2 linked regions of the Callithrix jacchus genome follow. The protein of the gene in region 1 purifies or fractionates together with the protein of each later gene. This does not show direct contact. Links are inferred from orthologs where the notes say so. Each region holds a gene or a part of one and is shown on either strand. Other genes may lie near its edges.

The links.
Region 2: the proteins of JUP (region 1) and DSG2 purify together in Homo sapiens (affinity purification with western blotting; 3 studies listed by BioGRID and IntAct, with this or other methods). This does not show direct contact. The link is inferred for Callithrix jacchus from reciprocal best matches to the Homo sapiens genes JUP and DSG2.

Annotation. Positions count from the first base shown.
Region 1 is NC_133506.1:91,480,999-91,484,365, forward strand, and holds part of JUP (junction plakoglobin), read left to right. Parts: intron 1-992; coding exon 993-1,148; intron 1,149-1,345; coding exon 1,346-1,465; intron 1,466-2,347; coding exon 2,348-2,498; intron 2,499-2,595; coding exon 2,596-2,717; intron 2,718-3,367. UniProt on the Homo sapiens protein: Common junctional plaque protein. The membrane-associated plaques are architectural elements in an important strategic position to influence the arrangement and function of both the cytoskeleton and the cells within the tissue.
Region 2 is NC_133514.1:74,679,184-74,683,004, forward strand, and holds part of DSG2 (desmoglein-2), read left to right. Parts: intron 1-920; coding exon 921-1,042; intron 1,043-1,852; exon of another isoform or gene 1,853-2,044; intron 2,045-2,240; coding exon 2,241-2,573; intron 2,574-2,818; exon of another isoform or gene 2,819-3,110; intron 3,111-3,821.

The sequences.
Region 1 (3,367 bases):
TGTAGTCCCAGCTCCTGGGGAGGCTCAGGTAGGAGGATCACTTGAGCACAGGAGTTGGAGGTTACGGTGAGCTATGATTGCATCAGTGCACTCCAGCCTGGGTGCAAAACCCGTCATTTAAAAGAAAAACCCATCATTTAAAAGAATGAAAGCAAAAACCCATCATTTAAAAGAAAAGAAAAACAGGAGGCTGGGTGCTGTGGCTCACATCTGTAGTTCTAGCACTTTGGGAAGCAAAGGGGAAGGCAAAAGAGTCACTTGAGGCCAGGAGTTTGAGACCAGCCTGGGTGGTAACATAGTGAGACACTCACCTCTTACAAAAAAATTGAAAAGGCGGCCAGATTCGGTGGCTCAGACCTGTAATCCCAGCACTTTGAGAGGCCAAGGTGGGCGGATCACCTGAGGTCAGGAGTTTGAGATCAGCCTGACCAACATGGAGAAACCCTGTCTCTACTAAAAATAGAAAATTAGCTGGGCCTGGTGGTGCATGCCTCTAATCCCAGGTACTCAGGAGGCTGAGGCAGGAGAATTGCTTAGAGATTTCAAGGAGGTGGAGGTTTCAGTGAGCCGAAATCTCGCCATTGCACTTTAGCCTGGCCAACAAGAGCAAAACTCCATCTCAAAAAAAAAAAAAAAAACTGAAGAAAAATCCAAACAAATAAACAATCTCTCTTTCTCTCTATACACACACACACACACACACACACACACACACACACACACACCCCTCTGCAGGTCCCAATTCAGCAGACCTGCTATAAGAGCAAAACTCCATCTCAAAAAAAAAAAAAAAGAATTAGCTGTGAGCACCCCCAGATCCTGTGGAGTAAGTGACATGGCTGGGGTGGTCTCATTCTCTGGAGATCTTTCAGTATGCCTGTGTCTGGCCTCGGGGAAAGGTGAAGGAGGGAGGGGATACCTGAAGCTGGGAACCTTGGGATCCTTCAGATGTCCAAGAAGTGCCCCTGATCCCTGCCCCTTTTTTTTGCCAGGCAACCATCGGCTTGATCAGGAATCTGGCCCTGTGCCCAGCCAACCATGCCCCCCTGCAGGAGGCAGCAGTCATCCCCCGCCTCGTCCAACTGCTGGTCAAGGCCCACCAGGATGCCCAGCGCCACGTGGCTGCAGGCACACAGCAGCCCTACACGGTATGTGAGCTGTTGGTGCCTGTGACAGCCTTCCTGGGAGGTCAGGGTATCCTCTGTGGGTATGTGTGTGAATGGGAACATCAGTTGCAAGGGATACCAATTCCAAGTGCCTGTGAAGTTGATTCAGCTGTCAGGGTCGGGAAGAGTTGTGACCATGTCCAAGGCACCCGTCCCATGCCCCCTGCCTCTCCATGCAGGACGGTGTGAGGATGGAGGAGATTGTGGAGGGCTGCACTGGAGCCCTGCACATCCTCGCGCGGGACCCCATGAACCGCATGGAGATCTTCCGGCTCAACACCATCCCCCTGTTTGTGCAGGTGAGTCTGGGGCAGGTGGGCAGGAGAGGTTCCCCCACCACTGCTTAGAGGGCAAGGTCCCAGATTTGGGAAGCCTGGACCAGGCATCCAGAGGTCTCTGGAGGAATTTGGAGGAAAGTGGACATACCGGGATTGACTACTTAGCAACCTCCTGGCTTGGTATGACTTTCTAAGCATCAAAGCGAGGAGAGAGATCACAAATGGAAGAAAAAACACCTTGAGATTCAATCACATAAACATGAAAAACATCTGTATTTCAGAAAGAACCTTAAAAAAGCATTTAAAAAATCAGTAAACTGGGAGAATATGTGCAAATACCATAAGAGACAAGTGTTTAGGCTGGGCACGGTGGCTCACGCCTGTAATCCCAGCACTTTGGGAGGCCAAGGCGGGCAGATCACAAGATCAGGAGTTTGAGACCAGCTTGGCTAACATGGTGAAATCACGTCTCTACCAAAAATACAAAAAATTAGCTGGGCATGGTGGCAGGTTCCCATAATCCCACTTGGGAGGCTGAGGCAGGTGAATCACTTGAACCCAGGAGGTGGAGGTTACAGTGAGCTGAGATCATGCCATTGCACTCCAGCCTGGGTAGCAGGGGTGAAACTGCGTCTCAAAAAAAAAAAGAGTTTAACATCTCTCATGTCATTGAGGTCACTGACACTAGATTCCAATGCTTAGATGAGGCAGCAACACGGGTAATTTCAAAGTAGTCCATAAACAACGCTCAGCCCAGTTAAAGCAGTAACACCCTGTGATGAGGGCCCATTTCCCACTCTGGAATTGCTACAGGGTGGAGGTGGGCAGGGCTGTGGGCTGTGTTGTCCAGCCTGCCTCATCCCTTTCCACTGCTCCCTTACTTCCCGTGTCCCCTGTCCCCAGCTCCTGTACTCATCGGTGGAGAACATCCAGCGCGTGGCCGCCGGGGTGCTGTGTGAGCTGGCCCAGGACAAGGAGGCGGCGGACGCCATTGATGCAGAGGGGGCCTCAGCCCCACTCATGGAATTGCTGCACTCCCGCAACGAGGGCACTGGTGAGCTGGAGGAAGGGAGGAGACTGGGTCCCCTTCCCCCAGCCATGATGGAGGCCGGCACCCGTCTGACCTGGCTTTTCCTCTCTTCTCTGCTCAGCCACCTATGCTGCTGCCGTCCTGTTCCGAATCTCCGAGGACAAGAACCCAGACTACCGGAAGCGTGTGTCAGTGGAGCTCACCAACTCCCTCTTCAAGCATGACCCAGCTGCCTGGGAGGCTGTGAGTATCCTAGGTTGTTCTGGTTGGGAGGCTGGGATTATCCTAGGCCGTTCTGCCTGAGGCTGGGAGTATCCTAGGTTGTTCTGGCTGGGAGACTGGGAGTATCTTAGGTTCTTCTCTCCGGGAGGCTGGAAGTATCCCAGGCTGGACTGCAGTAGATGGCTGTGTAGGTTGTGTACTGCCCAAGGACAGCGCTTTTAGAGGGGCTTCTACTCCTGTCAACTTTCTAGATCTTTATTTTGTAATTGATCATTTATAACAATTCCTAGCAGATGGAGGTAGGTTGAACCATATATCCACAAAGTGCCAATTTTTATTTTGCCCAAATGAGTATACAGTGTTTGAGGAGGGAGTGCCTTTTCCTAATTTGTGTGGAGGTGCTGGATAGGCTATGGGCAGTCTTTTCTTGAGTCCTCTGCCTCCTCCCCTCCTCCCCTGAGCTGCTCTAGTCCGGCAGGAGCCCCCACCCCATGAATGGGGAACCCTCCTCCCTCTGGAGCACTGAGGACATGAGTACATCAGGGGCCTAGGTGACCCCATTTCATCATGCTCTATTCCTCCAAGGGCTCTGTTTTCTCTGGCCCCCTCTTTTATTTATTTTTTATTTTTTTATTTTTTTCAAGATAGAGTCTCACTCCTGTCGCCCAGGC
Region 2 (3,821 bases), on another chromosome or scaffold:
TTAGTAGATGTTCAGTTGAATGCACAGCACTCAACAGTTTGCAGTGTACTTTTATACAATTATCTCCATGTTATGGCTGCATATACAGATACATAATGATAAATGACTTGTCTCAGCTTACCAAGTGTGTAGGTAGGTACTGAAGCAGGCACTGTATCTTTCGCTCATGGATTCCTTGAACTGCTTTCTCATCTTCGATTCCCTGGAGCCTAATGTACTTGGCACATAATAGCCACTTGATGAATGTTTGTTAAAATTGTTGAATTGCCACTGGCTGGTTTCAATCTTCTTCTTAATCATAGCAGCTATAGTTAATGTGCTGTTGACTGTTTTACATAAAAACGAAATCTAGGCACTAGTCAGTTCATCCTTGGAAGCCAAATTGGAGTGGCAGATGGGTGTGCATATGTGTTTAATTCTTTGCTGCATTGATCAAGGGGTCAGCCTTGGTCTTTGCTTTCTCCTAGGGGTAAAATAAAATCTAAGGAGAGGGCTCTGAAATTGTTACACATTTCACTTTATTATCTCTAATCACTATTATTATTAGCACATAGATTTTGGGGACAGTGATTTTCTTTTTAATTGGACCATAGTTTTAAAAAATTTAATCTTTAAGCTGGTTTTGATGATTTGGATTCCATCTGACCCAGTTTTGGTGTTCCACTCAACAACCACAGACAGCCTCTTTTTGATGAACAAGGCCTTGAATCTGTACGACTCCCTTATTCTGCCATCAGGCTTTGGAGTAACTCACCCAAAACAGCTTGGTACAGTTGGATCAGGGTTAACAAAAGAAAAATAGGACTGCAAATAAGTGATGACAACTCCAGGAAGGGACATGCAAATTCCAAAATTACATAATATACATTTAGAAATTGTCAGGATTAACCTTATCTGTGTTCAATTTTGTGTCTGAACAGTGGTACCACTTTTACTGCTGATATGCCATTGTGGAAAGGGCGTCAAAGGCTTTACCCCCATACCTGGCACCATAGAGATGCTGCATCCTTGGAATAATGAAGGAGCGCCACCTGAAGACAAGGTCAGTGGATCAGATGTCAATAAGACTTGTCTTCTTTTTGGGTTTTAAAGGGGCCTAGGGAAGTGTTTCTTACATTTTTGGTAGAGTGAGTAAAGTGATCACTATGGATTTCACTTATATGCCTTTGTTAAGCAAAGGGTTCAAATGACAGTGTATTTTGTGTTTGTTGCTGGGGCAGAACTGAGATGGTTTTACTCTGTTGTGACACTTCCCATGCTATAGAGAATGCAGAGCAAGGTTCAGAAAGAGCAAATGTGCTAGAGATCTAAGTCTTTTGTCCCAGCATTAAATGGGCAGTTTTCACAACCAGGAACTGCTTCATTTACATTCCCCTCAATACACAGGGTTTGCAGAGGTAACCCACAACCCCCATGACGGTTGTAAAATGTTGCAAAGCCCACTTTCCCAACAACTTCATAGCCATATCCCTTTGTCTATTGCATCTTCACCCTGTACCTCTCATCACCGTCTGTTATGAGCACCATTTCTAATAGGATAGAATTTAGCATCAAGTGGCAGAGAACTCAGAATTCAGTGGCTTAAACATAAAGTGGGCAGTCCAAGGTCAACATATTGATGATTCCTCCACAGTGTGGTCCCTGGCTCCCTCTTCCTTGTTTTTCCTCCATGGTTGAGTTCTATTCCCATGCTGTCCTCATGTGTCAGTGCTAGCTACGTAGCTGCCATCCCTACATTCTAACCAGCAAATGGGAGAAAAGTAAAGAATGCTCTTTAAGCACACTTCCCAGAACTTGCCTACACCATTTCTGCTTAATTCACATTGGCCACACTACCTTAGTCAGGTGGCTTAATCAGAGGCTTGGAAATAGTCTTTATTTTGGGTGGCCATGGATCCAGGTAAAAACAAAATTGAAAATTCTATAACTATAGAAGGTATCAAACTGCAGAGGAAGGTTGGAATGCCATTGGTACACATAGAGTGAAGAAGCTGAGACCCTATGTAACTGTTTGGGCCTTGTTTCCTCTGCGGGTTATATCCAGCTATAAAACAAGAAGCTAGAAGAAAGAAGATCTTCATAAGACTTACATAAGTTATTCAACCCAAAAGATTTTTTCTAATTGGCCTCAGTGGAAATAGCTTATACCTTCCTATGCCTACTTGGCTTAGATCCTTCTACCAAGGATGAAGGAGTCCCCTCCATCTTCCTGACTCAGTTCTCAGTGTTTCCTCTCACAGGTGGTACCATCATTTCTGCCAGTGGATCAAAAGGACAGTCTAGCAGGAAGAAATGGAGTAGGAGGTATGGCCAAGGAAGCCACCATGAAAGAAAGTAGCTCTGGTTCCTTTGCCAAAGGTCAGCGTGAGATGTCTGAGCTGGATGGAAGGTGGGAAGAACACAGAAGCCTGCTTTCTGTTAGAGCTACCCAGGTTACAGGGGCCACAGGGGCTATCATAAGCAAGGAAACCATGAAGAACACAAGAGCCACAGGGGCTTCCAGAGACGTGGCCGGAGCTCAGACAGCTGCTGTTGCACTGAATGAAGAATTCTTAAGAAATTATTTCACTGATGTAAGGATTGGTTTTATGTATTGGGGGGTGGGGGACATTTATATGTAAATGTAATATTATTAGGGTAATCATTGCCTTGGATCCAAATGAGACTTTGAGGTTTTTTTTCTTTTTTCAGGGAATACTTATAGGCAATAAGGAAAGAGAAATGGGACCCACTAAATCAGTTGGTGTTAGCTAAATTATGCTGCGATAACAAGTGAACCCACGATCTTAGTTCTCACATAGGCATATTTCTTACTTACAGTTATGTTTTTGCCAGTCAGCTCAGCTCTGTCCTGCTTCATGATGTCTTCATTCCAAGATGCTCTGAGAGAGCAAATCAGACCTGGGAAGCTGCCATCCTTGTGGCCCAGAGAAAAGAGCAAGGCAGAACCAGGCAATGGCTCTTAAAGCCTCCAGCTTTATCCACTCACATTTCATTGACCAAAGCAAGTTACGTGACCAAGACAGATGTCAGTGGGTCAGAAAGTTCTATCCCCGCAGTAGCAGACTTGGTAGGGATGAGCCCTGCAGGAGAGACAGAGAATATATAACCTAAAAAATACAATCTGTTAAGTCCATTTAAATTTTACCTTATTTATGAGAGTACTTGGCTTTGCTATTCTGAGGGTCTACCAAGAAGTGATGAGAAAAGTTGCAGGAAGATGATCAGATGCAGTAAGGAAGCTTGTGCTAGAATTAGGAATTAGAAGCAGGACTGAAAATAAAAGTATGATGTAGAGGTCAGGCACAGTGGCTCATGCCTTTGATCCCAGCACTATGGGAGGCCAAGGCAGGCTGATCACTTGAGCCCAGAAGTTCAAGACCAGTTTGGGCAACATGGTGAAATCCTCACTCTCCAAAAATACAAAATATTAGCCAGGCATCCTGGCACACACCTATAGTCACAGCTACTCAGGCGCTGAGGCAGGAGGATCACTTGAGCCTGGGAAGCCAAGGATCCAGTGAGCTGTGATCATACCACTGCACTCCAGCCTGGGCAACAGAAACTCTGTCTAAAAATAATGATAATAACAGAGATAAGTATACTTCAGAACAAGGATTATTACCAGGAATAATGAGGGATAGTTCAAAATGAAAAATGGGCCAATTCATCAGGACGTCTGAAACTCCTAAGTATGTCAGAACCTAATAACAAATTATTAAAACTTAAAGCAAAAACAGAACTGATAGGGAAATAGACAAATTCATAATTATAGTTGGAGAGTTCAACCTGTTCTATCAGTAAATGAAAGAACGAGTAGA